Coturnix japonica: one gene and its partners. The protein of the gene in region 2 binds, or shares a complex with, the protein of the main gene of each other region. Links are inferred from orthologs where the notes say so. Each region holds a gene or a part of one and is shown on either strand. Other genes may lie near its edges. The genes, in order: ARPP19, PPP2CA, INTS6, STRIP2, STRN3, PDCD10 and PTPA.

Evidence for each region.
Region 1: the proteins of PPP2CA (region 2) and ARPP19 are in contact, whole or in part, in a cryo-EM structure (PDB 8TTB), measured with the Homo sapiens proteins. The link is inferred for Coturnix japonica from reciprocal best matches to the Homo sapiens genes PPP2CA and ARPP19. Residues at the interface, in NP_002706.1 of Homo sapiens: Arg89, His118, Gln122, Gln125, Val126, Tyr127, Tyr130, Asp204, Asp205, Pro213, Arg214, Gly215, His241, Gln242, Leu243, Met245, Tyr265, Arg268, Cys269; in NP_001293124.1 of Homo sapiens: Phe60, Asp61, Ser62, Gly63, Asp64, Tyr65, Asn66, Met67, Lys69, Ala70, Lys73, Ile92, Pro93, Thr94, Pro95, Leu98, Arg101.
Region 3: the proteins of PPP2CA (region 2) and INTS6 are in contact, whole or in part, in a cryo-EM structure (PDB 8RC4), measured with the Homo sapiens proteins. The link is inferred for Coturnix japonica from reciprocal best matches to the Homo sapiens genes PPP2CA and INTS6. Residues at the interface, in NP_002706.1 of Homo sapiens: Arg89, His118, Val126, Tyr127, Pro172, Trp200, Pro203, Asp204, Asp205, Arg206, Gly207, Gly208, Trp209, Ile211, Pro213, Arg214, Gly215, Tyr218, His241, Gln242, Leu243, Val244, Met245, Glu246, Tyr248, Asn249, Trp250, Cys251, His252, Arg254; in NP_036273.1 of Homo sapiens: Leu20, Gly21, Thr22, Asp26, Lys29, Gly30, Glu33, Lys78, Asn79, Gln81, Asp575, Glu576, Asp577, His580, Ser581, Val582, Pro583, Ile584, Ala585, Met587, Gly588, Asn589, Tyr590, Tyr593, Leu594, Met626, Met627, Ile628, Asp629, Glu630.
Region 4: PPP2CA (region 2) and STRIP2 share a complex: the UniProt entries of both Homo sapiens proteins name them as parts of the core of STRIPAK complex. The link is inferred for Coturnix japonica from reciprocal best matches to the Homo sapiens genes PPP2CA and STRIP2.
Region 5: PPP2CA (region 2) and STRN3 share a complex: the UniProt entries of both Homo sapiens proteins name them as parts of the core of STRIPAK complex. The link is inferred for Coturnix japonica from reciprocal best matches to the Homo sapiens genes PPP2CA and STRN3.
Region 6: PPP2CA (region 2) and PDCD10 share a complex: the UniProt entries of both Homo sapiens proteins name them as parts of the core of STRIPAK complex. The link is inferred for Coturnix japonica from reciprocal best matches to the Homo sapiens genes PPP2CA and PDCD10.
Region 7: the proteins of PPP2CA (region 2) and PTPA are in contact, whole or in part, in a crystal structure (PDB 4LAC), measured with the Homo sapiens proteins. The link is inferred for Coturnix japonica from reciprocal best matches to the Homo sapiens genes PPP2CA and PTPA. Residues at the interface, in NP_002706.1 of Homo sapiens: Arg89, Gly90, Tyr91, Gln122, Gln125, Val126, Tyr127, Gly128, Asp131, Glu132, Arg135, His191, Asp205, Arg206, Pro213, Arg214, Gly215, Gln242, Leu243, Val244, Met245, Asn249, Asn264, Cys266, Tyr267, Arg268, Cys269; in NP_821068.1 of Homo sapiens: His31, Thr32, Val33, Ser133, Arg134, Phe135, Lys138, Arg141, Asn180, Thr182, Arg183, Arg235, Glu237, Pro238, Gly240, Ser241, Gln242, Gly243, Val244, Trp245, Asp248, Asp249, Phe250, Phe294, Ile295, Met298, Lys299, Thr300, Ala304, Glu305.

The regions. Positions count from the first base shown.
Region 1 is NC_029525.1:7,620,686-7,624,950, reverse strand, and holds the start of ARPP19 (cAMP-regulated phosphoprotein 19), read right to left. Parts: upstream 2,801-4,265; 5' UTR 2,631-2,800; coding exon 2,586-2,630; intron 362-2,585; exon of another isoform or gene 339-361; intron 322-338; exon of another isoform or gene 301-321; intron 1-300. UniProt on the Homo sapiens protein: Protein phosphatase inhibitor that specifically inhibits protein phosphatase 2A (PP2A) during mitosis. Inhibition of PP2A is enhanced when ARPP19 is phosphorylated.
Region 2 is NC_029528.1:2,281,238-2,285,486, reverse strand, and holds the start of PPP2CA (serine/threonine-protein phosphatase 2A catalytic subunit alpha isoform), read left to right. Parts: upstream 1-1,449; 5' UTR 1,450-1,667; coding exon 1,668-1,769; intron 1,770-4,249. UniProt on the Homo sapiens protein: Catalytic subunit of protein phosphatase 2A (PP2A), a serine/threonine phosphatase involved in the regulation of a wide variety of enzymes, signal transduction pathways, and cellular events.
Region 3 is NC_029516.1:152,175,915-152,180,042, forward strand, and holds the start of INTS6 (integrator complex subunit 6), read right to left. Parts: upstream 2,801-4,128; 5' UTR 2,403-2,800; coding exon 2,292-2,402; intron 2,091-2,291; coding exon 2,013-2,090; intron 1,400-2,012; coding exon 1,250-1,399; intron 1-1,249. UniProt on the Homo sapiens protein: Component of the integrator complex, a multiprotein complex that terminates RNA polymerase II (Pol II) transcription in the promoter-proximal region of genes.
Region 4 is NC_029516.1:795,090-799,116, reverse strand, and holds the start of STRIP2 (striatin-interacting protein 2), read right to left. Parts: upstream 2,801-4,027; 5' UTR 2,783-2,800; coding exon 2,546-2,782; intron 1,812-2,545; exon of another isoform or gene 1,761-1,811; coding exon of another isoform or gene 1,701-1,760; exon of another isoform or gene 1,469-1,700; coding exon 1,399-1,468; exon of another isoform or gene 1,363-1,398; intron 581-1,362; coding exon 506-580; intron 431-505; coding exon 296-430; intron 206-295; coding exon 85-205; intron 1-84. UniProt on the Homo sapiens protein: Plays a role in the regulation of cell morphology and cytoskeletal organization. Required in the control of cell shape. Calmodulin-binding scaffolding protein which is the center of the striatin-interacting phosphatase and kinase (STRIPAK) complexes.
Region 5 is NC_029520.1:30,897,362-30,900,861, reverse strand, and holds part of STRN3 (striatin-3), read right to left. Parts: intron 3,136-3,500; coding exon 2,968-3,135; intron 2,717-2,967; coding exon 2,576-2,716; intron 1,423-2,575; coding exon 1,315-1,422; intron 1-1,314. UniProt on the Homo sapiens protein: Calmodulin-binding scaffolding protein which is the center of the striatin-interacting phosphatase and kinase (STRIPAK) complexes.
Region 6 is NC_029524.1:18,270,924-18,274,966, reverse strand, and holds the start of PDCD10 (programmed cell death protein 10), read right to left. Parts: upstream 2,801-4,043; 5' UTR 2,651-2,800; exon of another isoform or gene 2,608-2,650; intron 1-2,607. UniProt on the Homo sapiens protein: Promotes cell proliferation. Modulates apoptotic pathways. Increases mitogen-activated protein kinase activity and STK26 activity. Important for cell migration, and for normal structure and assembly of the Golgi complex.
Region 7 is NC_029532.1:4,127,948-4,132,168, reverse strand, and holds the start of PTPA (serine/threonine-protein phosphatase 2A activator), read right to left. Parts: upstream 2,801-4,221; 5' UTR 2,712-2,800; coding exon 2,687-2,711; intron 1,476-2,686; coding exon 1,375-1,475; intron 89-1,374; coding exon 2-88; intron 1-1. UniProt on the Homo sapiens protein: PPIases accelerate the folding of proteins. It catalyzes the cis-trans isomerization of proline imidic peptide bonds in oligopeptides. Acts as a regulatory subunit for serine/threonine-protein phosphatase 2A (PP2A).

The DNA of each region.
Region 1 (4,265 bases), on a different chromosome or scaffold from region 2:
CCAAAGGAGATATTTTTAAGAACAGAGGGCTGACAATAAAGAGCTCACACAAATACGCATTCACAGAACATCAAAGGAGATATTTATGCAGACTTGCAGGGTTGACAAATCATCACACAGCAGGCAACCAAACACCAAATACTGAGTTGTGCATCAATGCAGCTAAAAGGATACAGACTGCAGTCACCTCTTCATGTCCAAGAACAGCTATGACCCCCTAAAACTATATAACATGAAGAAGGATGAAAGACAAAGACTGGGACGTCAGACACAAGCAGCTGAGAACAGGTTCAAAAATACCTAGAAACAAGGTGCAGTCAAGCTCCAGAACTCCTCACCAAAGGATGCAGGGGACACCAAGAACACAGATGAATTCAGAAAGGCACTGGATGTGTTTAATTGCAGCTCAGAAGACCTTTATCCATAGACTGAGGAGACCTGGGGTAGCTTTTAATGGAAGATCATCGCCTGCTTGTCCTGCCTTTCTATCTTCCACAGACTACGTGGCATTGAGCTCTCTTGGAGATGCATCATTGCAACACAAAGGCGTTAACTCAAACCCACAAGACCAATGGCATATTAGCAGTGTTTTCCCTTGAGTTATTATAGAAGCAGCAACCAAATGACTGACAACTGATGGAGAAAAATCAAGATGTACCACGCACTTCTTCCTAGTGACAACCACACAAGTTGTAATTTTAGTTCTCTATGGGAATTTTTGCACAGCTAATGAGGTCTGTTCACTTCATTAAAACGAGCTACCAGCACAGCCAGTAGTTACCTAACACATCTAAAAATGGCTCCTGCTTTTAATCTTCATGAAAAACAAGAGGTTTGCTATCTGCTGGACAGCTGAACTGCACTGCTAAAAACAAGCCTGGGCAATCATGTTCTGAATAAAGCTCATCCCCTTTAGAGAAAGACATCAGACAAGAATATAAAGGAGAAAATGAGAAAAACATGACGGCACTGGAACTGCGCAGTTATGGGAACAGCCAGTCTCCAAACAAGAGGTACCACTGCTACCAGCTTCCTGACAAACCCCGGCTGGTAAGGCACAAACGGCACCACTGAACAAGCACACGTTCACCACTGCCTGAAGGTTTCTTTGTTGCCCAACTTCCTCCTGCCACGATCCCAAGTTTTCACACAGAGAACAGGAAGCGCTGCTCTCATGGAATGTTTGCAGTCGACATCAGCCTTCACTGAGCGTCCATGTGAGCTTCCTGCAGCAGCACAGCTTGGAAGGGAAGTCTCAACTTACTGCCCCTGTGTTCCTTAGGGGATTCTTCTTTAATGGGCACTGCAGAACGGGTCGGTCGGACAAGTACTGTGGAGCTGAGCATTAACTGCACCAACCCGACATTTTGCTTGTCCAGACAAACACTGTTGAAGGTGAACGTTACAATGCCACAGTATTAGTGTGGAGCTCTGACATCACATGACGGGGACTCAGAGAAAATGAGGATTTATTGACTTTCATTTGCCCCGAGTGGCTGCTCCGACTACAGCTAAACGAGAAGCTCAGCACGGGATCCCACCCGTCCTGCAGCCAGCAGCGTTTCAGAGCAGCACATTGCAGGACATCGGCCCCAAACTTTGTCGGCAGCATCAGCGCCGTCCTGCCGACAGCCCCAGAACACACTAGAAGGCGGCACAACGAACGCGCTGCCGCATGTCAGCACGCTCCCGTTCCAGCGCCGTTCCAGCAGCGCCGCACAGGCCGGGCACGGAGCGGGATCGCTCACAGCCTGTGCCGGCAGCACCGCGAGCTCCGCGCCGCAGGGAAACGGGGCCCAACCTCCGCTCCACGCGGCCCCGTTCCATCCTGACTCCCGAACCTTCCCTCCCTGATTACAGGCGGTGAATTACTAAACAAAAACTTCATCCCGCCGGCTCGAAGGGCCGTTTCCCCTCCGTAGGCCCTCACGGCAGCACACCCGCGTTTCCTATCTTCTCCGCCAGCAGCGGGGACAGCAGCCGGCGCTCAGCGGCGCCCAGACGGCACGGACGGCTCCGGGAGCCGGCACTGCGAGAACGGAGCCCAGCACAGAGCATCCACTGCACACAGCACCCACCGCACACAGCACCCACAGCACCCAGCATCCACGGTCTGAGCGCTGACAGCGCGGCCGCCGCTCTCTGGACGCGCAGAGCAGCGCGGGCCGCCCAGCCTTTGTCTGTGTTGCTCGGCCGCCCCGAGCCGAGCGAGGGGTTATTACGGAGCCTCGCGGCGCAGCACCGGGGCTCCCTGCGGGCCGAGGCCGCCCAGCGCAGACGGGAGCGCCGTGTACCGCCGGGAGCACGGCACGGCACGGCACAGCACGGTACGGCACGGCACAGCACAGCACGGGGCCCGGCGCGGTGACGTTGCTCCACGGCGGACGCCGAGCGAGGGCAGCGCGGACCGCCCGCCCGGCCCCGGGCTCGGGCCGCCTCCCCCCGTGCTGCTCAGAGCCGCTCACGGTGCCGCGGGCCGCCGCCTCCTTCCGCCTCGGCGAAGCACGGATGGAGGCAGGGAGGCGCCCCGCGCCGGCCCGTTCCCCTCAACCCCCCCCAGGAGATCCTCCACCACCACCACCCACCTTCTGCTCCTCGGCCGAGGCGGGCTCGGGGCTCTCAGCAGACATGGCGCCGCGGCAGCAGCACGGCGGGCGGGGCGCCGCTCCTCCGCGCAGCGCAGCGCAACTCCGGCTCCGCACAAGATGGCGGCCGGCAGGACGGCGCGCCGGCGGGAACACACTTCCTCCGCTCAGCGCCCGCCGCGCGCAATGCAACTCTCGGCGGGCACTTCCGGCGATGGGCACGGCCCACGGTACGTCACGCAGCACTTCCGGTCCGCCGGGAGCCGGGCCGAGATACCGGAAGTGCTGCGGGGATGTCGGGAGTTGCGCCCGGGCGGGAGGGAGTGCGAGAACCTTGACACAGGGTGAGTACTTGTAGGATACACGGGGTAAGTACTTGTAGGATACACGGGGTAAGTACCTGTAGGATACACGGGGTAAGTACTTGTAGGAGACACGGGGTAAGTACTTGTAGGATACACAGGGTAAGTACTTGTAGGATACACGCTGTCTGCTTGGGCTGAACATCAGATACAGAGAAACTAGGGTGCGTTCCCATGATACTACATTAGGTCCTGGTTACACGTGCAGTGCAATTGCAGTTGTATTTGACTCTTGGGCTGCCAAAAGATCTTCAGCTCTGCAGGACACTCAAATGACTGGAAACTGCAAGTGTTCCCTTGTACAACAACTGCAAACAATGCCCTTGTACAATAACTGCAATTAATTCCTTTGTACAACAACTGCAAGCAATTCCTTTGTACAATAACTGCAATTAATTCCCTTGTTCAATAACTGCAAACAATGCCCTTGTACAACGTCTCCCAGGTTACATTAAAACAAATGCTGATCTTTGAACACCCACCATAACAGGGCAAAAATAGTGCTCCAGCTGGAAACAGGCTCAGTAATATCTGGGTTTTGCCCTTCTGTAGCAGCAGTCATTGGAAACACAAGAGTTGTATCACCTGGAAGGTCTGCTCTCCCTTCCTGCAGGTTTCTCAGTGCTCTGACTCGTCACTTCATCTCAGAGCAGCACTGAATGCACAACACACATTCACTGCTTCTCCAGCCTTCATCAGATAAGGACGTTCCACTCCCAAACACAAAGGTCACCTTTCACATGACTGACGCCATGAAAAAGCATTGAGATGGAAGGAAAAACATCATCCAGGGTAAAACAGCAGAGAAACTGTGAGATCTTCGGCAAGCATCATAAAGCTTCGTTTTCATTATTAAATATATACTTCAAATATAATCAAATGCTTCTAGCTTTATTTCTCTCAGTTACACAGTTTAACACTCAGCATAAACTGTTCATCTGACTGTGATTTGCTTTAGGAATACATGTATTGGAAAGCATTTCTATGCCCAACATAGCATCTCTAGTAAAACTTCAGATAGCCACCTAGTGGCCTACATGGAATTGACCTATTAAAAATATTCAGGATTACATGAAGATCCTCCTCATCTAAAAATAAAACAAAGTACATGTTCCATAGCTTTTGCATATATTTCAGATATAAATGCTAATTAGTTTGTTCGCACAGTACATCCTTCAGCACAATCTGAGAAATCAAGTGTGGAAGGTGGGAATTATATGAGACACCAACAGACAGCGAAACCAAAGTGGCTCTTTTAGAAAGGAAGAAATGGAGGGAGCTAAAAATGAATTGAATCAAAGATCTGAATGCAAGGGGA
Region 2 (4,249 bases):
AAACAAGGAACCTTTCCATAGCAGAGTAACCCTAACACCAGGCTCCCATTAACCTATGGCAGGTTTGGGAGCCACCACAATTGCTTTAAAGACAGCAGCAATCACTATTGCAATCCGCATGGAGCACTGCCTAGTGCACATTACACGTGTTTTCTCTGCACATATCAGATAATACGTCACAGGACTTTGGTTGCAGTTTCATAAGCAAGTTAAGATTTTCCTGCTACTGAAGCTTTAATTTAAGAAATTTAAAAAAGAAAAAATCAGAAAGAATTCAGAACCTGAGTTTCACCAGGAATTCCTCTATCTCTATGAAAACAAAAGCTAAATACGGTCTTTAACTTGGCTAGTTAAATAAGAGAGGATTATTGCCTTATGTTCTTTCCAGTTGCTTGTTCAGGATTATTTGGGAGGCAATGAAGCAGTGCCACAGAGCAGATTCTTGCCATTTTTCAACAGATAACACCTCTCCTTTTACAGCTTTAAAATACAAAACCAGAGGCATCTGAGGATGCAAAATAGAGCCCCTGAAGAAAGGCATGCCAAAAAAATGCACATCTTATAGAGAGAGCATGACATGGAGGAACCGAGACCGACTGGTTACAGCAAACATTCCTTCCCCTTTGCTCACTATTTTGTTTCTTTGCCTCAATAGCAAGCAAAGAATTTAACCCTTTCCACTCACTGCAAGGCAAACCCGGCTGGAGACAAGTGACTCCTATTAAGCAGGAAGCCTTTGGTAAGTGGCTAATTCCAAAAGGGCACATTGGGCCAAATTCTGACCCACTTTATTGATTTTGTTGTTCTTTTAACTGATATTTCACACGCTTGATAAGTTACTGTAAGGAAATGCCACACCGGCAGCCCCGTCATTTAGGATGAAGACCACTGCAATACACGTTACACACACCGCACAGCGTCACAGTGTCACAGTGCGGTGCGGGTTGGCAGGGACCTTAGAGATCACCGAGTCCAACCCCGGGATTGGAGCCTCTGTGCTGCAGAGCGGCACTGCTACCACTTGCGCCACAGGGGGATTCGAACCCAAGGCCTCCAGCGTTGCAAAGTAGCGTCCTTCAGCACTGCGCCCTCAGTGTCACACCCCGCTCCCCCACACACCCATGAAGCCGTACCCCACACACTGTACAGCGCTACCCCCTATTTCCCCACCGCTCTCCCTCAGACCCGCCCACAGCCGCGCCCTGCACGGGCGGGAAAAGCTCATGACCCGCAGCTCCTCCCGCGCATGCGCACGAAGCCCCTCACAGCGCGCAAGCCCCGCTCCCCCCAGCCAGCATGCGCCGCGCATGCGCAGCATAGAGCTCCGTCTCTCCGGTCGGGCAGGTCCCGCCCATGTCGCGCATGCGCGGTCCGTCCAGCCTACTGCGCACGCGCCGTCCCCTCCCATGGCGGCGCCGTCCCCTCCCCGCAGTGTAGTGGGGCCGTGACGTCAGCAGCGGCGGCCATTACACGGGCAGAGCGAGGGTCGGAGCGCTCTGTTCGCTGCCGTGCGTTGGGCGCCGCTCCGCCCGCAGCTCCACGACCCGCTGCTGAGCCGCGACCACCGGGATCGCGTCGTTGGGGCCTTTGGGGGGAGCGGCGGCAGCTGGTGGTGAGGGGGAGGAGGAGGCGGAGGAGGAGGGGGCGAGCGAGCGGCTGCGTGCGGGATGGAGGAGAAGGTGTTCACCAAGGAGCTGGACCAGTGGGTGGAGCAGCTCAACGAGTGCAAGCAGCTGTCCGAGGGGCAGGTGAAGAGCCTGTGCGAGAAGGTGAGGCGCGGCGTGGGGAGCGGAGCGGCGGCACGGGGCGGGGCGGCACCTCCGGGGTTGGGCACACGGGGCTGTGAGCAGGACGGATCGGAGCGGTGCCGGGCAGTGGGTCGGCTCCACACATCGGCTCGGTGGGTCGCTCTGTTGGGCTCCGCTGGGCGCTGCTCGCTCTGCCCGGCGCTGGATGAGCCGCGGCCCCTCGGCGGGCATTGCCGCGGCCTGGCCCCGCCTCCCGCCTTTTCATCGCCTCCTAAAATGGCGCCGCTGCCGGGAGCCGCCGCCACAGAGCACGAGAGCCGCCGCCGGGCCCGGCCCTGCCGCTCCGCCATCCGTGCGGTGCTGTGCGGTGACACGGGGAGGCCGTGTAGGGCAGGGAGCGTAGGGCGCGGTGCGGGGCTCCGAGCTGCTGTGAGCACGGCGGATTATTCAGTTATTCATTTACCATACAAATATAGGATCGCGGTTATTTCTAATTGAAGCGGAATTTTAGATCGACCTGGGGAGTCGGGTTTGTTTTTTGTTTTTTTTTTTTCCAGAATAAAATGGCGCTTAGTGACATAAAGCTCGTGTCGCTGTTTATTGCTACGGTGACTGATGGGGATCCGCGCAGCACAATGATGTGCTGTGTGTGTAGTGTAGGAGCGGCTTCACATCGGCAACTGTGCTCTAGGAATTAAAGGAATAATAGCTGCAGTGGTACCCGGTTGTATTGTCCGGTTACAGTCTGTTTCTGAGCGGAATTAAATCCTCAGCCATCATGAGCCATTATTTTCCCTTCAATTACTGGAGGTTTTATTTGTGTGCACCTTTAGATTGAAGGAATTGCCTTTTTTGGGGGAGGGATCTAGAAATCAATGCGTATGGAGGTTATTGATGCCCTCGGTCCTAAAGAAGGCTGCGTGCCTATCACAGGAGGAAACAGGGGTATTTTAAGGTTGGCACCATGCCTTCAAATAGTACAGCGTGTTGGTTTAGAAGCAGATTGTTTCCAGAGGGTTGTATGTGGACTTAGAATTAACTTGCAGTGCTTTTGGCCATACAGGTTCTTGTTGTGTCCCACATTTCAGTCGCCTCATATTCCAGCAACTCAAAATCAAAGCCGTTAGATATAGTTTGTGTGTTTAACGTGGTGTTCCAAGCAAGTAGCAGGTTAGGGATTGTTTCCCTTGTGTGTCTTTAGTGCCAGCACTCTGACTTTTTCCTCGTGTCCCATTTGCCATCACTGATGTGCTGATGGAAGGGCTGAATCCTGGCTGGGTATTTCTAATGTGGTTGTATGGCAATCTGTAAAAACCCGAGGAATAAATGAAATTCTTTGCATTTAGTGGATGCTGTGGATAGGTGAGCAGTAGACATGCCAATAGAAACCGCACAAAAGGCACCATAGTCCTGTTCATAATCTGTGCGAGGATGGAGGTGTCTTCATTTTTTCCTAATGAAGAATTGAATTAGTCTATTTCTGGCTGAGCGTGTAATGTTCATCACCAGAATAGATTCATGACACTAGGAAAGAAAAAGCTGTTCTAACCTGAAACGATTCTGATAGGTTCAAGGCAAGGAATCACGAGGCAGGTGGGCTCTGTAGGAGCAGCAGACTCTGTTGGAGAGGCTGGAGGAATGATAGGTGATGAGCTGCAGGAATTGTTTGGATGAAGGAGTTGAATTAGGTTACAGAAAGCTGCCTGTTCGACTGCTGCATTGAGATGAAAGGCTGCAAGGACAGGAGAGAGGCTGATGTGAGAATACCACTGAGCAGCAGGGATGGTTTGCCACAAGTTGGAGCCAGCTCCAGACCAAAGGTGGAATGTCTTTGGGCAGCATGACACTGTGCTTGAGATAAAGCTCCCTCTCTATTACTCGGTTGAGGTCAACACTTTGTGAGGTACATCCAGGCTGTTTGTATTAAGGGTGATAACTACTGGTGGATTTACCAGCCCCTGTTAGTGGTAGGTGAGATGCTGTGTCAAGCTTTCCATTGTCCTGTCCCCCCCATGGGTTGCTGTGTTCCCAAAGCAGGGCATTAGTTGAATTCTGTGCCTGTCTGCAGAGGTTCCTCATTTATCCTGTTCCCAGGCTTCCAGCACCAGCTCTCTGCAGTACTGAATTATGATTCGTGTTTTGATTATTGTCTGCAATCACACCCAAAGGTTATGATTTTCCATAGAGAGCTTAGATGTTAAGGGTGGTGTCAAACATAGTCACTGTTTCAAATGATGGGTGCAGACCCTATCTGACAGAAGCTGTCATTCCTCACTGCTCTGAGCTGTAGCTACGATAGAAAAAAGTAATCCCTCTTGTGAAGGCTTTTCCCCATAACATGCTGTTTATTAGGTGATCTTCTGACTGGTATTTCTGGATCTTCTGAGGCTTCGTGTGTGTCTAGTAAGACGAAGCCTGAGGGCTCTGTTGTGTTTCAGTATTGATAGCAGAAGAACACAACAGCTATTTGCAGACACAGTGCAGTGCAGCACAGTAACTCA
Region 3 (4,128 bases), on a different chromosome or scaffold from region 2:
TTATATGACACGGGTTTCACATATTTCTTCATTATCAATAGAAACAGTAAAGAGCACGTATTCCATGTATGTATCTGCTATGGTAGATGTTTCAAGAAGATTTGCATTGCTAATGTAACAAAGAAAAATGGCAGAAAATGGGAAAGATTAGTACACAGAAGAGGACAGCAGATGGTAATAGACAAGAAAAACTAGCCATGTGTGGAACTAGCTTTTTTTTCTTTGAAGTTTCATCACCAAACTGGCATTCTAAAAATGTTTAGACTCACTTAATCACCTAGTGGGCAAGCCATACAGTGCAACATGAGATAGACCTCCTTCCTAAACAAACATGGCGTGTTATCATAAACCGCACTCAGACGGGGAAAAGGGAGGGAGAAAACAGGGACTTATTTTCACAGCCACATCCCCATGGTAAATACCAAGAGCAGTAACTAATCCTCAGAGAGCAGATGAAACATTACATGAGAAAAGATACGAAAAGGGGAGATTGACTTTAGCACATCCCACGTGAAAGATACAGGGTATACTTTGCCCAGTACTGGTAACATCTTCTATGCAAAACAAATCCAGGGTCTGATCCAGTGCCACAAAGAATTGGGTATGCTTCTTAAAGTGCATATTTTAACCTAGAGTTAAGGGCTTGTAGCAAGTCATACTACTGAGCAAGGGAACACTGGACCTTCCCAGTAGTAGTTCTGCCTTAAAGGGACAGCTGCCATACAAGCATTTGAAAATCAGAGCTTCCTAAGGTTCTACTATAAACATGAATATGAAAAGAGAGGTATTCAGAGAAGTGTTGAAGTAAACTCACTGGAAAATAACGCTTTAAAAGAGATGTGCTCAGCTTAGCACTTTAGGTGCTTTAGTGCTGTCAGACAAAATAGCCCATCTCCCAAATTGTACGTAACTGATCATACAGCACTATATACAGAAATCAATGTTTTGAAGGCCTCATTGGGCTCATCAGTTAAGGTTCTGGAATTTGTCACCAAAAAAAAACACTACAAAGTTTAACTGAGAAGGTCAACTGCAGCTTACATAGTAGTTTAAAAAGAGAGTAATGAGGAGAATAGGAGGTAATAGCTGGGTACAGAACTGTAGTTAGTACCTACACTTCTTCAGACTGTCTGAACTCTGCTTGCTTTTTATGAAGCCCCTGTATTGAGTGCTTCATGAAGACACTACTTTGGGCAACCACGGGAAACGTGTGTTTTATGATTTTTCCACCTATTACCAGTCAACCTACCTGCCCATAGTTGTCTATGCCAGTTACTAATCTATTTAAGTTTAATAAATCAAAAGCTGTTCTTAGGGACTGGCCAAGAGTTGTAAGTCCTTCAGCCTGAAGGTTTTTCAGTTCATTCATGAACGTCGCATGGTTTTCCTTCCAGCCAGCCTGAAAAGAGAAACGCGAGAAGGCTTATTGGTGGAATGAGCTCGGGACGGGAACCTCCTACGGGATCGGGCTTTTCTGTTGGCTACAGCGTCTCCCTTCAACGCTAAACGAACACCTCGGAAGTTACCAGCATTCAGTAGCATTTCGTAGAGCCTGAAAAGACGGACTGAAAGAGCATGAAATGCTCTGCGTTCATCGAGTATTTCTTACAAGGGACGAAGCCACACACACTAAGAATCCTACACACCGGGCTCACGACCCCACAGAGGCGATGCCCAGCGGGTTCACCCCCCATACCCCCCCGCGTCCCGCAGCCCCCGCCCCGGAGGGTTCTCCCCTCCCTCCCCTTCCCCGCCGAACTCTCCTCGGAGTTGCTGTCACTTCTCCCAAGTTGAGCACACCTCCCCCACAGTTCCTGCCGCTCACACACACACACCACACGGGGGATATATAAAAAAAAATGTCGGCCATGTTGATGTCAGCGCCGCCGCCGCCGCTGCCCGAAGCCGTGCGTGCGCGGCGCCGCGCGGCCCGGCCCGACTGAAGGGGCGGTGCGGCGGGGCAGGAAGGAGGGCCGGGGGGCGGCGGTGGAGGGAGGGGGGAGCGGGGTTACCTTGATGGCGTAGGGAGGCTCCTCGAAAGTGACCAGCATGTACCTGTCGCCGCGGCTGGCCGGGTCCCGGGCCCGCAGCTGCGGCGCGGGGACAAAGCGGAGGGTGAGGCGAGAGGAGGTGCCGGATCTCCCCCCTCCAGGCGCGGCACTGCCCTCCCCTCCCTCCCCGACCCCCCTCCCGGTCTCTCCCGCAGCCCCCGCGCCCCCGGCCCGCAGCCCCCCGCCGCCCCCTCCCCATCTCGCTCGCTTTCGCCTCCTCTCGCCAGGCAGCGCCGGTACCTTCATGAAAGTCTCTACAGCGCCTTTGGCTATGTCCAGATAGCTGGTGCCGAGGTACGCCCGCTGGTTCATGGAGGCGGACGTGTCTATCAGGAAGAGTAAGATGGGCATAGTGCGGAGGGGCCGGCGGCCGGGCGGCTACATGGACAGCGGGCGGGAGGGAGACGGGAGAGCAGGGGGAGGAGGAGGAGGAGGAGGAGAGGCAGCCGGGGTCGGGAGAGGAGCGAGTGGCTGTGAGTGCTGTGCACGGGAAGGGCCTCCCGCTGCCCCTCTGCCGAGGCGGGGGAAGGGGGCAGCGCTGCCTGCCCTGCCCTCCTTTGTGTGAGGGGCCTGCCCAGCCCGGCACGGGCCGGGTGCTGCGGGAGCGGCGGGGAGGGCTGCGCTGCTGCTAACCTTCCCCCCCGCCACCACCGTCCTCCTCCACCGCCGCCCTCCCTCCCCTCCCCCTGTTGATGTTACTCAGAAGTTTCAGGCGGACCGGCCGCAGCCCGCCCACCCCGCCACTTTCTCTCTCTGACTGAGGCGCTTCCTCGCTCGCCGCCCGCTTTTAAGGGCGCCTGGGCAGGTCGGGACACGCCCCCTTAGGACACGTCCCCGCCCCACGTGACCGCCTCCCGGCCCCGCCATAGGGCTTCGGTAGGCCGCTCATTAGCATATTCAAATCGCCGGGGGAGGGCGGGGTTGGGGGGGATGGAGCCGCTGTGGGAGAGGGTGGGGGGGAGCGGCGCCGCCGCGCATGCGCAGTGGAGGTGGGGTGAGGGGCGGCGGGGTGACTCCATATCAGCCCCGTATCAGCCCACAGCCCCTCGAGGCCGCCGTTCTGCCGTACCCCGTGGCGTTGCTTAGCGCTCATCGCCTCCCGAGGCGTGTAGGGCGGTGCTCTCCTGATTTTGGAGGGCATTGGTGGGGTCCTAAAGGCGTTCAGAGCCACGGACCGCCCCGCTGGCTGTGAGGGGACACCGCGAGGCCGGGCTGGTTGTGTGGTGAATTCCCATAGAGCCGCTCTGCAGTTTCACTTGGTGTGAAAAAAAAAAAAAGATTAAAAAAAAACAAACGGGCTGCCCTTAACTGTGACCTTTTCCCTACGCGCAGGCAGAGATTAACACTGCTGTGTCCCTTTGATCCGTGCTCAGGCACTCCGAATTTACTATAAATCACATCGTTGTGGAGTCTTTCCAGCCAATTAATGCTGAAGATTGAGCTCTCCGTCCTTTGGAGGTTTCTGTTTGTTTTTCCCCACAATTGTGTCTGTGCTGTTCCTGCTCTCCCAGCCTTGGAGCGCTGACTCCAGAGCCATTTCTTAGCATTATCTGTTCAGGAGATTGTGCTGCTTCCTTTCTGGCTGATGTTTTCCCCTGATCCAGCTGATGTGCTCCCACAGCCGTTCTCTAGAAGGTACGAAGCCACTGTACTTCTTAAGATAAAATTGGCAGCGTCCTGGTTTGAATCATTTCATTCTTCCAGGCAACATTTCTGTCTTGTTAGGCAAGAGCTGTTTTGGGCTTCTTTTTTTTTTTTTTTCTTTTTTAAAGACTAATGAAGATTAGCATTTAGTTTCTAGGAAGGTTGGAAAGACAGAGGTGGAATCACATTTTCATTACAGGTGTGTCCTTGTGCCTGTGAATAGATATTTTGCCTTTCCTACTGGCACCTGTGACCTGTGCCATCCATCCTGAGGCACTGGGGCAGCGTCGAGGATATTGTCTTTTATCCTGGGTCGCTGCTAGGAGCCACTAAAGAATCTCCAGCAGAAGTCCTATGAGATCAGTGACAAAACTCTCTTATTTGGAGTGGTGGGGGGGGGGGTAATGAAATTTGACAACTATGTTTCTTCAGT
Region 4 (4,027 bases), on a different chromosome or scaffold from region 2:
AAAGACTAAGATGAAGAGGGAGGTGTGGAGGAGAATAGGACAAAGAGGAGGGTGAGGAAGGTGGGAGCTGTGGCGTCCTCTCACTCGATCTCCATACTGAGCAGCTCCAGGAAGGCGCTGAAGGTGCCCAGCTGGTACAGCAGGAAGCTGTTGTGCCGTGACCAGTGCAGGACATCGCCTTCGCTCTCACAGTCTCCAAACACTCCTGGGGAGGCCCAGGGAGGAACGTGGTCAGCGAGTGCTGCCCTGGGACCCCCCAGGACCTCCCTGGGACGGAGCTGGGCCAGGTGCTCACCTTGTGCCAGGTAGAGGATGGCCCGCGCTGCCCGCAGCCGCCGCTCCCTGCTGACCACCTCCAGCCCCTCCAGCAGCCGCAGCACGTGGGCCCTCTGCTGCGCCGTGTCCAGCTCCATCCACTGCCGACCCCGCGCTGCAGAGGGGACAGAGTGATGTGTGGGCTGTGGGGCAGCACTGTGCCATGGGGCACTGAACACAGAGCTCATACCTTGGGGGCAAAACTCTTCCTCGAAGCATCGCCGGTTGGTGCTGAGCTCGGGCTCCTCAGTGTAGCTGTACAGCTCTGCTGGAACACAGACAGCGGTTACCAGAAGGGTTTTCACCCCTCATCACCACCAGATTCCTCTGAGATATCCCCACATGCCCAAGATGTGGGGCAGAACCCCAGTGTTGTCCTGGAGCTCTCTGGGAGCTCCATTGAGCACTGGGATCCCACTCAATGCTTCCATAACCATCCAGTCAGTCTCATTTCATGTTGGGAACACTGCAGATATCCCAACATGGCATTAAAATCCAATAAAACCCAAATGGGACCCTGGACTCTTGAGCCTTACAGCAGCTCTCCTGGTGGGTGCCGATGGGACAGTGGGGACAGTGCTGATATCTCAGTGTCCCTGAGCAATTTTAGAACTTCACTGAGCTCCGGGTTCTGACTCTGCTCCCAAACCCATTTCACATTGCTATGAGGCAATGGGGACAGCATGGATACCCCAGTGTGGCATAAAAAACGGGACCCAGAGCCACATATCAGCCCCACAGCCTCACCTATAGGAACTTCCACCTCACCCCCGCCCCTGCCACTGCCCCATTGCACCTGCAGTGCCATTTGGAGGGTAATTTTGCCCCAATTTGGTCACTTTGCAAAAGGAGAAACCCCAGGAGCACCGCGCAGCCAGGCAGGTCGAGCACTGCTTCCATGCAAACAGCTCCGGGCTTTGGGGTTTTATGCTGCTTCCAATATCATCATAGTATCATATCGTAGTCTGATATGATCATCCCTACACATTCCCTATACCCCATTATTAACCCCTCCGTTAATTAAACCCTCCTCTCTCTCCCTTCCAGGTTGCTGCCGCCCCACGGATCACCCCACAGCCCCACCTGCGAGCTCTGCACCGCGGCTGTCGGCGTCCCCGTATTCGAACTCCACGGTGGGGAAATCCACGGAGCCCTGCGGAGAGCGGCGCGTTTGGAAGCGGTGCGTAAAAACAGCAGCCGGCCCTGGCTGCAAACAGCCCCTGCACGCTTAAATGCACGGCTCGCACCCTGCCCAGCAGCCCCGCGTGTGCAGCTCCATTTCTGCACAGCCTAAAACCTCCCCGGTTTAAATCCACGCCTTTCATCCTGCAGGCAGCCCCGAGCACATACCCCTGTTCTTCCCAACGTAAACCCGCAGCGTTTACCCTGCAAACAGCCCCGTGCACGGACAGCGGTTCTTCCCGTCTTAAATCCATGGCTTCCATCCAGCGCACAGCCCCGTGCACGCATCCACCCCGCACTCAGCCCCACGTGTGCTCCCCAGTTCTTCCCAGCTTCAATTCCAGGGCCGTCCCTTCTCCCTACGTCCCTCCCAGGGCTGCGGACCCCCCCCGACCCCCCCCATTTCCCGCAGCGGGAGCGGAACTGGAGCGTAAAACCCCGGAGAGAGAACGCATGAATGGGTCACGGATGGCACTTCCATCGCTCCCTCCTGGCTGTGGGGCGGAGCGAGGTACATCGACCCCATCCCTATGGGTACCCCCAAGATGCTCAGCACGGGGCTGAGCGCTCTGCACCAAAACTACGCTTTTTCACCCCATTTTTTTTGCAGCCCAGGGCTGCGGATCCCCTTCAGGATCCTAAATCCCAGGAGGAATTCAGGACTAATCGGATCAGTGGGGCCATGGAAGGAGGAGGGGGGGGGGGGGGGGGGGGGGGGGGGGGGGGGGGGGGGGGGGGGGGGGGGGGGGGGGGGGGGGGGTGAAGCCCCAGCGCACCCAGCACAGGAGCCCACTGTGGGTCTGCGCCCCCCGTTGGGCCATCGGCCCCCGGGTGTTGGGGTGCGGGGAGCATTGGAACTGGGGGGGGAGCATTGAGATGCAGGGGCTGGGGACACCACTGGGATAACCGGCGCTGTGACCCCAGGGACTGCGCAGGGAACCCCCCCGGACCAGGACCCCCTCGGACTCCCCACCCCCAGAATGACCGACCCCCCCCAACCCGCAGCTCCTCAGCACTTCCAGCCCCATTCCATGCCCCCATTCCCCACCTCGGACTCCTTCCGCTGTCCCCTGAAGAACTCCCGGCCCTTTTGGGGGGGGTTCTGCGCTGGGGGCTGCCCCATTCGGGCCCTCCCCGCGTTGAGGTTCGGGTTCGGGTTCGGGTTCGGGTTCGGGTTCGGTGCCCCCCCCGCCGCCTCCTCCATGCGTTGCGCCCTCCGCGCCCCTCCGCGCACGTGGGGGCCGCGCCTCGTGCCCCGCCCCCCCGCTCCTATTGGCTGTTGCATGGAGGGGGCGGGGCTGGAGGACACACCTCCTCACCCCGTTCTGCTATTGGGTTGGGGGGCACCGTAGAGATGATGGACACTGCAATAAGGGGCGCTGGGGGGGCACGTGTGGGTGCCCATAGATGGGGCTGGGGGGAGCATGGGGTGACCCCGTACTGTGGGAGATGGTGGTTGCCCCAGGGCAGGGGGCTGGGGGGGGCAGCGACCCCAAACTGGCGCCATTCAGCAAACATGTCCCACATACAGAAGGGGTTTGGGGTCCCATCCCCATCCCATCCCCATCTCCATCTCCATCCCATCCCATCCCATCCCATCCCATCCCATCCCATCCCATCCCATCCCATTCTCTTATCCCAACCCCAACTCTATCCCCATCTCCATCCCCATCCCATCCCCATCCCATCCCCATCCCCATCTCCATCCCATCCCCATCCCCATCTCCATCCCATCCCCATTCTATCTCCATCCCCATCCCCATTCTATCTCCATCCCCATCCCATCCCATTCTCTTATCCCAACCCCAACTCTATCCCCATCCCCTTCCCCACCCCCACCCCACTCCATCCTTCATCCCCAGTTCCGGAGCAGCACATCGGTTTTCCAACATTTTATTTCTGTTTCGAGATTACAGAGTCTTTATTGCTGCTCTAATACAATCACTCAGACATCAATAATTAAAACATCCTTTTGAAAATGTTCTCCAAGTTTTGCTGCCCTCTCCGCAGCCAACCATGATGGGTTTTGTCTCATTTGTTTCTAAAGATCTCAACTGATTTATTCTCCTTAACATGATTTTGCTGGTGTTCCCTAAAATCTCCTTTTCCTAAATCTTTAAAAACGTTAAAAAAAAGAAAAAAAGAAAAAAAATTAAAATAAAAATTACACGTTTTAATTTAGAGATGATCACAGAATATTATAATTCCAGATTGATTAGGAAAAGCCAAGCAAGCGGAAAAGCTGACAGGAGAAGAAGCAGAATGACACGGAGAAGAGCTTTAAAAATACAGGTGGGAAAAGGTGAGGCCGTTTGGGGGGGGGGGGGGGTGTCTTTCTTTTATTGTTATTATTTTTGTCCCATCACCTGGAAGGTAAATGAAGGTAAATCAGGGCTTAGAAATAGGCACAGCTGCCGGGAGAGATGATCCTGGGGCAGCGATGAGCTCAGTGTGGGGAGCTGAGCTCTGTGTTGGGCGCTGAGATCCAGGCAGGGATCCAGAGCTCCATGTTGAGGTACTCAGCTCCATG
Region 5 (3,500 bases), on a different chromosome or scaffold from region 2:
AAGACATACTCGGTAATATCAAAGGTCCATCTAACAGGACAACTAAGTGGTACTTTAGATACAAGATGTTCTCCAACTTCTAAAATTAACTGTTCAGTTACATTACAAACCTAAGTGGTTACCTGCATATCCAACTACTCTGTGCCATTTCCCCTGGACTCTTTGTCAGTTGAACCTTAGTTCTTGTTTTGGAAAAGAGAGTAAGCTAACAAGTCCACAGTAAGACCATAACCAACATGAAAAAGTTCTGTCATCTTTATCCAGTTCTCTTTTCCTGAAGAATCTTAGCCCAATTTGTCATTTCTCATATGTTAAACCACTCTTTGAAACGCTTTTTTTTGCTATATCCTTTTTTGAGCAATAGGAGACTAACACAAAGTACAAGTATGTATGCATCAGGAACTCATACAATATATTAACTGATTTTGTTGGCTATTCCTTTCCCTCACACATTTTTCCACACAGAATTTAATGTGCTTATTCTCAAGCCTACAAGGATCTCCATTTCTTCCTGGTCACTTTCCATTTCCAGTCTTTAACGCAGTTATTTGTTCATGCCATATCTTCCTTTGTTACTTTTAAAGACTTGGTAATACATTTGAATTTCGGAGTAATCATTTCAGCATATTTAATGACCACAGGTGAGAAGAAGTGGGGAAAAAACATCTTATCCTTTTCTTTTTAAAGGCAGAAAGCTAATAAAACCAAAACAAAAATACCAGAATAACACCCCTCTTCATCTCCTAAGCAGACATTTTAAACAGGGGTTTTGCACACATACATACAGAAGTCAGTTTATGCTTTTTTTTTTTCCCCCCCCTCTTCCTGCTTAGTAGGATAACACACAGAAAATGACAGCTGATTCAAAAATTGAAGTCGAATAGAACTTAACCAACAACTTAAATATAACAAAGGCTTCCACTGCTACAATGAATTAAGGGCCATATCTTGTCTCAGTACCAAGTAATGATTTTTATGACTGAGAATTGAAAATATAACTGAGTGATAACTTTGGAGTGATAAGCATGGAAATGGTGAAAACAGGAATAAAATAGTGGAGATATTCTATAAATCAACATCTTGCTAATTTAAAAGGATATTCTGGCCTGCCATAACCATCTCTGTATAAGGGAATGTTTCTGACTGCTGAAGTCACAGTTGCAAGGGATGGCATAATTTCATATAAAAGTTAATCTTGGAACAACATCAAGTCCTGGTCACTAGTATATTCTCTACAAATGGATTCTTCCTATATCCATCCAGATCTACTTGGAACATATTCATACATTCACATGAGGGTCTCTTTACCCTTACCCGTTTTGTTGTCAAAAAATTTGATGTGTCTATCTTCATGAGCTGTAATAGTAACAGGAAGTGTGGGATGACTTACTACCTTGTTAATGTGATTATTTGATTGTACACCTGAAATTAAAAAAAAACCACAAACATATACTCATTTGCCTTAAAGAAATGGCTAAAGCTAAAATGAAAATATTCTAGCATTCCACTTTACCATACTGTATTAACATTATATAAGAAACACCCTCAGAACAACATCAACACATCTAATAATAACCACCATCTTGCCTTAACAGAAGATAGATTAAGCCAGGTATACTCCTGCCAATGTACTTTAAGGTTAAAGCTGCACAGCTGGTTTACACATAAGAAAGATTGTTCAGATGGATGGCAAACAAATAAGGAAAGGAACAAATCGCCCATATATTTAGAACACAACTCTTATACCTTCATATAAAAAAAAAATACATCTTGAACATAAACAAACAAAAAATCTAAACTCAACCTAACCTACAAGATTCCAGCAGATATTATTTTTATGTATTTCAGCTTAAAGAAATACTGAAAGTTTAGAGCATCTTCGTAAGTTCTCAGAATAGTCCTCATAATACACTTCCTGCCTTAAAGATTGTTTCCTTCATTCTTGTTTTGTTGATTTCTTTTGAGATTCTCTTAAAGGAGGAAAGGAATCTCTCCAATCTGCAATGGTGCTTCTCACTGTCAGTGTCAGCTATGCACAATACCCAGAGTATAGGCTTCAGCACATGTTATAAAAATCTGCAAAAGCTATCTTATCTACATGCTACTTGATACTATAAGAACAATCACTAAGTGAATTGGACTAATTGGAGAGGAAAAGCAAATTCTTCCCTTGCACTACTCTTTTAGATGTATTTGCAAAGATTTGAATAATCAGAAACTGAACGCTTTCTTTATGAAACACTTCCATAGATTCAAGAAAATGAAGTACTGAAGACAAGTCCTCTATTTAGAGTCTCATCAACTATATACAATTATCAACAACAAGTTATGTAACACCTTATTTGTAGCAACAGAATTTCTAATATTACATGTTCCATAAGAGAGAACTGAAGCACAATCTGGACAGATTCTACACTGAATATTTTGCTGAAATCCCTTATTATTGTAAGCAATTTTTGTAAGTAATTATTGTAAGTAATAATTGTATTATTGTTTTTTTACTTCCCACATGATAAAACTTTCATACAGGCACTTCATTCAAGTTAAATACTTAATAGAAAAGAGCTTTATTTACCAGATTCTACTTGGGATGAAAGCATTACCACTGACTGAGATGTTTCTAAATCATAGATGACTGTGCTGCCAGTGTTAAATGATGCCACCATATGAGCAGGATCACAACCTATGAAGTCAACTGATGTAGGTATTCCATGCTCTAAAAAGTGAGGAAAAAAAATGCCTTTAGCAACAAGAGAACATCTTAACATTCTTAACAACATAAGCATTAAGCTTACCCATACTTAATTTGCTCCCTTCAGAATAACACCACAGCATCAGGATTATTTTATTAAAAGAATCTCTCTTTAGTCGTGTTAACTAGCTTTGAAAAATGGAGACAAGCCAAGAACTTCATCAGATATCTCATAACAAATTTTCAAAACCAAAATTTCCCAGCAAAAAACTTACCTTTCTCTCCATTGTAAGTGCAAATACAGGGCATTTTTTCTGGTGGGTTCCATAATCTAATAGTGCCATCTGCTGAACAAGATAGTAAGTGATTCTTAACACCACTGTAAGCAAGACCCCAGACTGCATCTGTGTGAGCAACTAGTGTGCCAGCTAGAACGTTTGGCTCTGGAAAGACAAAAGATCAGAAACCAAATAAGTATTTATAGCATTTCAATATAAATAATATTTCAAGTAAAACAGCTATGTGTCACATTTGCTAAAATACTGATAAGTAATTTACCACATCTGTGTTCTTACAGATCTGTTAGTTATACTCATCTATTCTTTGAATATCAGTAGTAGGAAAATCTAAAAGTATTGATATATGAAACATTTGTTATAACCTCCTCTCTGAGAGGTTTGCTTCCTTCATCTAAATTTACTAACTTAAAGATTCTTTACTGCAGCCTTTTCTTTGTGCAAGATGTAAAAGCGCCTAAAACAAAAAAGATCAGCCTATTCATCAGTTACTCAAACTCTGAGTTCCTCTA
Region 6 (4,043 bases), on a different chromosome or scaffold from region 2:
CCTCCAAATCCACCCAATGAGGTTTTCAATCATTCAATGGAACTGCCTGAAAGGAAAAAACAACACAACACCCTACATTCAGATAAACTTCTTGTAAAGCAGGAAGATGAAAAGCAAGAAACTCCACACTTTCCCAAAATGTACAGCTACTGTTACCAGTGCCCAAGACACAAACTTGCTTTTCTCATCTATGCTATTTTCTGACAGGCACTTAAAAGTCAAGTGGCAGAAGAACCAGGAAGGGCAGAAACTTTCCCAAATCCACCTTTGCTCACTGGTCAGTGTGAAAACAATCTACTTGTCTATGAAAGAAAGTATTTTGCTTCATACTACCTTTTGAAAGCATGTTTAAAGAGAAGACAGAGTGTTATGCTTGGAACTTGAAAGAAGTTGGAAAACAATGGAAACATGAAGTTCCAGATGGCAGAATTTCACTCCTCAGCTACGTCACCTACCTACACCACTGGTGCTGTCTCCATTCCATTCTCCAGGCTCCATTTACCTCAGATGTAGATAATCTTAAAGCAGCCAAACGTTTGTGCTATTTCTTTTTAAGCCTGCTCCTTCTTTTTAAGCGAAGTACCAAGTGGAAGAAGGCCTGAGGCATTGATCTACCTGCATGATTAATTCAATGACTGGTTTTTAGGACAGAACCAGAAGTTACAGCTCTGCTCCTCCTAGAAAGATTATCCCCACTAACAAGAAGTTCCACTCCACTTCTTGTAGGGAGGATTCAAGAAGGTTGTGTTAAGAGAAAATCCACTAAGATCTTTGCCATCAGAAAAACTTAAGCTTAGTAAGAAAGAACGGGATAAAAACAAACACTTAACTTGAGGCCTGTCCCAAATTCAGAGGCAAAGACCTTGGCCTTTATTTGTAAAGCCCAAGTACATGGCTAATATGCAGTTCTAACAGTGTACCTACCCTGTGCACAACTTGGTACCTTTAAGTTTCTCTTGTTAATGGTTGCTCATAATAAACTGGAAAAAAAAGCACAAGTTCCCCCCTTCCGGAGAGAAGTTACCTACATAGTACTTCCATTCGTAGATCATAACCACTCCTCTTGTATAACTTTGACTGCATAGTACAAAGCTGAAAGCCTCTGTGCCTCAAATACTGAGCTACTTCTCTTATTAGAGCTGGGGACAGGATGGTTGAATTCACTGAAATTGGTGTCAAGTGCAGCTATGATGATAACAACCTCTGTATTCTAAAACTAATAAAGACAACAAGAAACCTAAAGAAGCAGCCTACTGTACAGGTTCTGTATTAAGCTAATGCTTACATTCAGCACCTTCCCAAAAGAGATAACAAAAGGAATACTATCAGAAAACAGCACTCAAGTTTAATAGGCATCTTTAAATGCCTCTTAGTAGAGCAAACATGTACTCCTCAAATACCTGCATGCACATCTATCACAGCCACTTCCAGATGAGTTCACTCTGACAGAGTATAACTGCTTGTGCATTTTATTATTGTGAAGCCAATTTGGGTGACTAAGTTGCACAAACTTGCAGTAAATTCAAGAAGCCTATTTTTAGACGGTTACTTCAAAATACTCTGAAATCTGGCTTTCAATAAATCTGTTGTCTGAAGTTCAGAATAGAAATTATTTAGTACACCCTAATACTTTGGTTTTGTGTCTGCCTATCACATGAAAAACAAAAGATGCCTGGACTAGGCCCTAATTTCATCTCTCTCTTGTACTATCACTACTGACACGCAGACAAAGTTCATTTCTCTTTTGTTAACATGTCTCTTTTTAAGTACTAGAAGGCCACAAAGAAGCCTCTCCAATACAGAATAACACAACACATCCCTGTTTCTCTTTCAAGCTCTTTTCCTCTTCCAAGGGAATTTGAAAGTAAAACTACTCAGTTCTCATTGCCCTATCAACCACTAACAGATAAACCACAAACAGAAACAGCTCCAAACACAATAACACATCCCAATGGGTAAACAACCAGCACTCAGCAATCAGTTCCTCTGATAACAAGAACACATCCACCTGCCTCAAGGCTTCAGCAGCAAACCTGTGCCCCCTATATGGACAAGCCCCAGGAAGGCCACACACTCGCCACTCATTAATCATATAACAGCACACTAAGGTGTTTAACAACACCAGCCTAAAGCTTGGTTTAAAGAGGAAGCACGACGTGATCACTTTCTATCCTCCCCCAGACGAAAGGCCCCACCTGGAGCGAACCAGGCCCAGCCCTGACAACGCCGTTCAGCAGTACGAGGCCGGGCTAAAAATACAACGCAGGCCTAACGCTGCCAAGAACAGCCATAGGGCTGCGGACGGGGGTTGGTACCCGGCCCTACCAGGAGGGATCCGAGCGGGAAGGGCGGAAACAAGGACGAGCCCTTGGGCCAGGTCACCCCGCGGTAGGAAGAAAAAGGCCGAGGCCTCACACCTGCAGCAAACAACGTTTCTCCCCTCACCCAGCCTCAAACCTGAGACAGTTTAACGCTTCTAACATAGCACAACCCCAAAAGGAAACCCAGGCCTTACACCGGTGACCCCCACCCTCTTCCTCTGTGTCTCTCCAGGCGCTTATCCCTTTAAAGACATGGGCCTAGAGAAGAAAACGAAGCCTCTCTCACCTCACCGCCTTACCTCGATACCTCTCCGCCCCGCAAAGCTCACCGAGCTCCGAGGGGGCTCCTCCACCTCGCCGGAAACCCAACAAGGAGGAAGCGTCCGCCGTGTTACCACACACCAGGCGTTGTCCGGAACTAACCGGCAGCCGCTCGGATACTTGGGATTCGTAGTCCTCTCTCCTCAACTACAACACCAACAATGCAACGAGGCGATAAAAGGGGCGGGTAGGAGGGAATGAGGAGGAGTATAGGAGTAGAGTCTATTCAATCAGAGCTCGAATCTGGACGGGTGGGCGAGGCCTGGACGGGGCGCGGTGGCATATCCCGGCGCGGGGAGCAGCGGCTGCACTTCTCACAGTGGAGGGGGGTGGTGTTGAGCTGCTGCTGTGGTAAGTGCCTTTAGCCTGCTGTGTTCAGCCGGTGCTGTGTTTAGGGTTGCGGGAGCAGCCTGCGGTTTGATGTCGGTGTGAAGCTGCGTGGCTCCGTAGTGCGGGTTGTGTGTCAGTGCCTGAGGGGAGGTGGTGGGTGATGTGGGGAGAGAATGGGGAAGGAAGAGAGCAATAATAATGTGGCGTCCTGCTGTCCCGGCACCTGCAGCCTGTCCACCTGAGTGTGTTTTATGCTATTCTGTGGTCTCCTGAAGCTCTGTCCCAGCCGTGGTTTGAGCGTGGCAGAACGAAGCTGCCCCAGCCTTGTGCTGAGCTGCTGCCTCTCTCCTCTCTATCTCTTGGCTTGTGTTGCCCTGTAGGTGTCCCCTATATGGGCTGTTTGACAACGGTCGCGTTACTTTTGGTGCTCGCAGTTATTGGAAAGCTTTAAGGTGAAGCTCTTAGTAACCAATATGAATTCCCATCAATACGCAGCTCAGTTCTAGGTTTGAGCCTTCGTTTCTAATGCGTTAGCTTGCAACTTTTCCTGGTACTGTTATTACTTTGGTGAGGCGTATGCGGGTTTTGCTGTAAGCAGGTGATGAATCGGTGCATCGCGGTGCTCCTGAATGCCAGCTGCATCTCCTTGCAGCGCCGAGGTGGTGAAATGGGAAGATACTGATATATGTGTGGGAGCAGAGCCCTTGTGTGTGCTACCCATACATGCTACCAGTGCCCACCATCTGCATGTAGGTAAGGAAGGATGCTAGAAAACAACTACTAGATTTGTCATGCTTTACTGTGTATGCGGAGTATTTGTCTTTGATTCCTCAATTATTTTGATGCGATCAGTGCTTTAATCCAGCAGAAAGCCTTGCTATTTAGTTTGTGTGACAGACACAGAAGCATTATAGCATGGGTTGAGGTGCATATGCATCTATGATATTGTCATTCCTTAGTGGTTGTAAAGTGATGTTAGGAAGCTGCAGTCCTACTGGTGCTAGTATTTTACTTTAAGTCACAGCATAAGTAATGCTTAATGATGCTTTCCTAGATTTACTTAATATGCTC
Region 7 (4,221 bases), on a different chromosome or scaffold from region 2:
CCTCTGAAACGTTGTATTCACAGGTCAGTTTCCTGCCCTTCACACCTTCGTTTAGGGTGAGGATGAAGCCCATGTAATCTGCATATGCCTGCAAACACATCCAAAAGAGCAAGTCAGTGAGTACCCACAGTCTGTTTGAATTAGCACTGCAGCATTATCGTGCTCCTGCACACCAAGGGAACCTTTCCCAGAACACAGCACTGCTTTCATGGAGACAGCCAGGGCACGGGGCTTGCTGTGAGGTTACTGCTATTTCTGGCAGACCTTGAAGGCAGATGGTGATCGCACCAACAACTCTGCATTGCTGAAAAGATTATGGAGTGAAGAATTCTAAGAAAGCTCACGCCGCCCCTGAAATCCTCCTCTCAGCTCCCTGCCTCTTATCAGGTCAAATTCATACTCCCTGGCTCTGCAGAATCTCTATGGTGTCCAGACATCCCGCCCTGCAATGCTCCTCCCAGGTCTGTCATTATCTCCTTCTGTTCTCCTGTGTACACGTATGATGAAGTGGGAGACGGCCCAAACTCCTCACTGCTGTGCTCTTTATACGAGCTGATTCTGAAGTATCATATGCAGAACAGCTTGGTAGCTCTGGGTCTGTGGAATGGTTAGACTAGCACTCTGCCAACTCTTGCTCCTTGGGACCCTCACACATAAATCCAGAGAGGAGCAAGTCCTTAGTCCCAGAAAATTTAATAAGGGGAATTGCAATCCTAAGTTTACTAGAGAGCTGGCAACAGTTTAAGCTTCTCATAAGACATTAAGCAAGAGTTCATTCCTAAACAGCAGAACCAACAGGAGAAACAAGTCCAGCCCATCCCTACTATGTCTTAAAGGCAGAGGACAGAGAATCTGCCTGTTCCACCAGCCCCACAGACACTATAAACAAAAATTACCCAGGAAATTAAAGGCTTTGGCTCTAGAGCCCTTCCCAGTACAGCACAGCGGGAAGGCACCAGGAACCAACCCACCCTGATGTCGTAAGGGCCAGACAGCCAGCTCACAAATTCAAGCTGAGTTCAGACAGCATCGGGTAAACCTGGTATATCACAACATTCAGGTTATGTAGGGTGAAATAGTTACCACTTGGCATGTCGGCAGGGAGCAGTAATAATTCTTACACACCTCTTGTCCCCCTCAACCTTTGGGCTCTCCCTGGCTCCTTTGTCTGAGCATTTGGCTGCCAGACTCCACACCTCGCTGCCAAGTCATTTTCCTACAATCAGGCAGCAACTCCTGCTTCAACACACATCCATTAATTTCCCACAACTTGCCCAAACCTGCTTTATACCTCATGGCAGTTACCAGTCCAGACCCAGCTACCACTGTAACGTAATAAGCACTTACCAGCCTTCCCTGAACCCACAGACATACCTGAGAGCGCTTCCACTTGCCCATGTCAGAAACCATGTTTATCTCCTTTCTGGGGATCATGAAGCTCTGCTGGATGGGAGGAGCCATCTCCTCTGGCTTGCCTGGGAGATGCAAGAAAGAGGTAAAGCAGGCAGTGGAGTAGAAGCAATCTTCTAACCTTCCTTTCTTAGAAAGCAACATTAATTTCCCAGGAGACTGAACACAAACAAATCCATCCCAGCTCGTGCCTCAATCTCACCAAGTCCTGCTCAGCAAGCAGCATCCCCTCAATAACATCCCCTGGAGGACACTCGATGGCTTCAGAAAGGCTGCATTACGTTCACTGTCTCTACTGAAGATGAATTTCCCATTCAGAGAGAGAAGCCTGCAGGAGCCAGCAGTGACATCACCCAGCTAGTTTAGCTATTTCTAGGGTGAACAAGCCTTGGGTCATGCTGAAGCACTAAGCTTTCCTTACAAACCACCTGTTCTCGGGGTGCTGCACCTGGGCTGCAATCCCCTAAGAAGGCCAATTCCTGCAGAGACAACACAGGATCGACTCAGTAGATGGCAGCCCAGAGCAGCACTCTCCATTCCAGAAGCGCTGAGGATGCTGAAACGCAGCACCTTAAAGATCAACGCTACCAAGATCCTTTTGATCCCAGTTTGATCCAGGACCCATGAGGATCAGAGTCCAACTCCTGCCTCCACACAGAGCCACCCAACAGCACGAGACAGCAGAGCAAACCACTGTTAAAGAAACCAAGGGCTGATGTGAACCCATGAATACTACCAGGATCACTCTGTTCATCATTTGAAACCCATAAAACACACAGACCTCTGCCTGCTCAGCACCAGGAGCGACACCAGCAACAGCTCCACATCACACAGTGGGACAACTCCAAATGTTGTTACAGGCTGCAGGTTCAGAAGGCCTTGTACTACTGTACTACTGTACTACTGTACTACTATTCTACTACCCTTGTACCCCTGTGATGGGCACGGCAGGGAAAAGGGAGCTGGGAAACACACAGACCCTGCTATGGATGGAGATAGGGAAATGATTGTGGGCAGAACTCCCCCATGCCCTGAGCTCCCTGTCCCCTCTTTGCTGCTGACGGTGTCACAGCCTGGCTGCCCATAACTTTAGGTTGATAGAATCAGACGTGAGGAACCACACAAGGGCCCGGCCCTCCCGGCCCTACAGGCCCCAGGGGCGGCTCGGTCCACCTGCTCCCCTCAGATCCACACAGAGCCCCGTTACCCCCGTTGTTACCCCCGTTTTAGCCCCGTTTTAGCCCCGTTATCCCCGTCCCGTCCCCCCCGTTCTCACCCGCCGGCCGCTCGCTCTCTGCCATCTTCCCGTAGGCCGCCGCCGCTCTGACTCCTCACCTCTCACCCTTCACCTTGAACGCCGATACCTCCGGCGGCCATCTTTGAGCCGGGCAAAGCGCCGCCCTGCCCTGTCTGGTTGCCGCCTCACACTCGCTCTCCTTACAGTAACATTTTGCCCTTTTCAAAAATGGCAGAACCTGCTTCGCCCCGCTCCAAGATGGCGGCGCGCAGCCCCGCCCCCTGCCGGCCGAGCGGGGCGGTGGCGCCCGGTGGTGCCGGTGTCCTTGCGGCGGGCGGCGGCGGCGGCCGGGAGAGGAGCCATGTTGGGCTGCGTGGCCAGAGCGGCGGTGAGTGAGAGCAGAGAGGGGCGGGATGGAGCGTGAGGGGGCAGCTGGGCCTCGATCACAGCATGAAGGGAGCGGGGGGAGCGGGGGGTGTCCCGTGTGAGGGGTGGGGAGGGGTGTCAGCCCGGCTGGGGCCTGGCACTGCCCCAATGTGGGGCCATCTCCTCTCATCCCACCCTGTGAGCAGAGCCCACCCCACCTCAACACAGCTCCTTCATGGACTGCACGGAGCCGTCAGGACTCCCCATATGATCCTCTGTGCTCTGAACCATCCCATTGCCCTCAGCCGCTCAGACCCACACACACTGCACATCTCTGCACACTCAGTGTCTTCCTTGCAGTGAGGGACCCAGAGCTGAGCACAGCACTGAGGTGCAGCCCCAGCAGTGACACTATGTGGGCACAGTCAGCTCCTTGCTTTGTATTGCTGATACAAACCACGCTGCCTTTGGCCTTCTTCACCCCCTGAGCACACATTAAACCCCAGATCCACTCTGTCCCAAGCCAAAGTGCAGCACCCAACCCTTGGTTTGGTCAGAGCTCACTGACACCACTGATAGACCTCAGGGCAGGAGGCAGCGTGGATTCACCCCATGAGATGGTTTCTCAGGGCTGGAGGAGGCTCCAGTTTCTAATATAAAAAGACAAACATACACCTGTCATCTGACACGACACGTTCTGGCTGTGCTGGGAATCAGACACCGCTCTGAAATTCCTCCCGCCCCCCCCAAGCCTGCAGGTGGACTTCCCATCGGCTTTACACACTGGAAAAGGTCATCGGTTATACTGGAACGTGGCCTGGGAGCATTGCCAGCCTGTAAGCTGGGCCCATCCACACACACAGAGCTCTGCTGGTGTTTGTTTCCCTGGTGCTTGTGGGGAAGAGGAAGGCGACTCGCTATCTCTGCTGCCAGCTGCCTCCTCTGTTCAGCTGTGATCGCTGCTCCTCCTCCCATCAAATGTTTGAGTTGGACCTCAATCCAAACAAGCAGAGGACAGACATAAAAGAGAAAACACAGATCTACCTGTTTTCAGCTAATTTAGTGGGGAGTTTTCCCTGTTTGCTCAGAGTCATCAGATGTGATCTTAGCTTTGTTTACACCCTGTCTGCCCCATGGTTGCTCAGAGGAGCATAATAATCCTCGGGACTGCATCATTCTGTTGCTGCTCTGCTTTGGAGATACCTTTA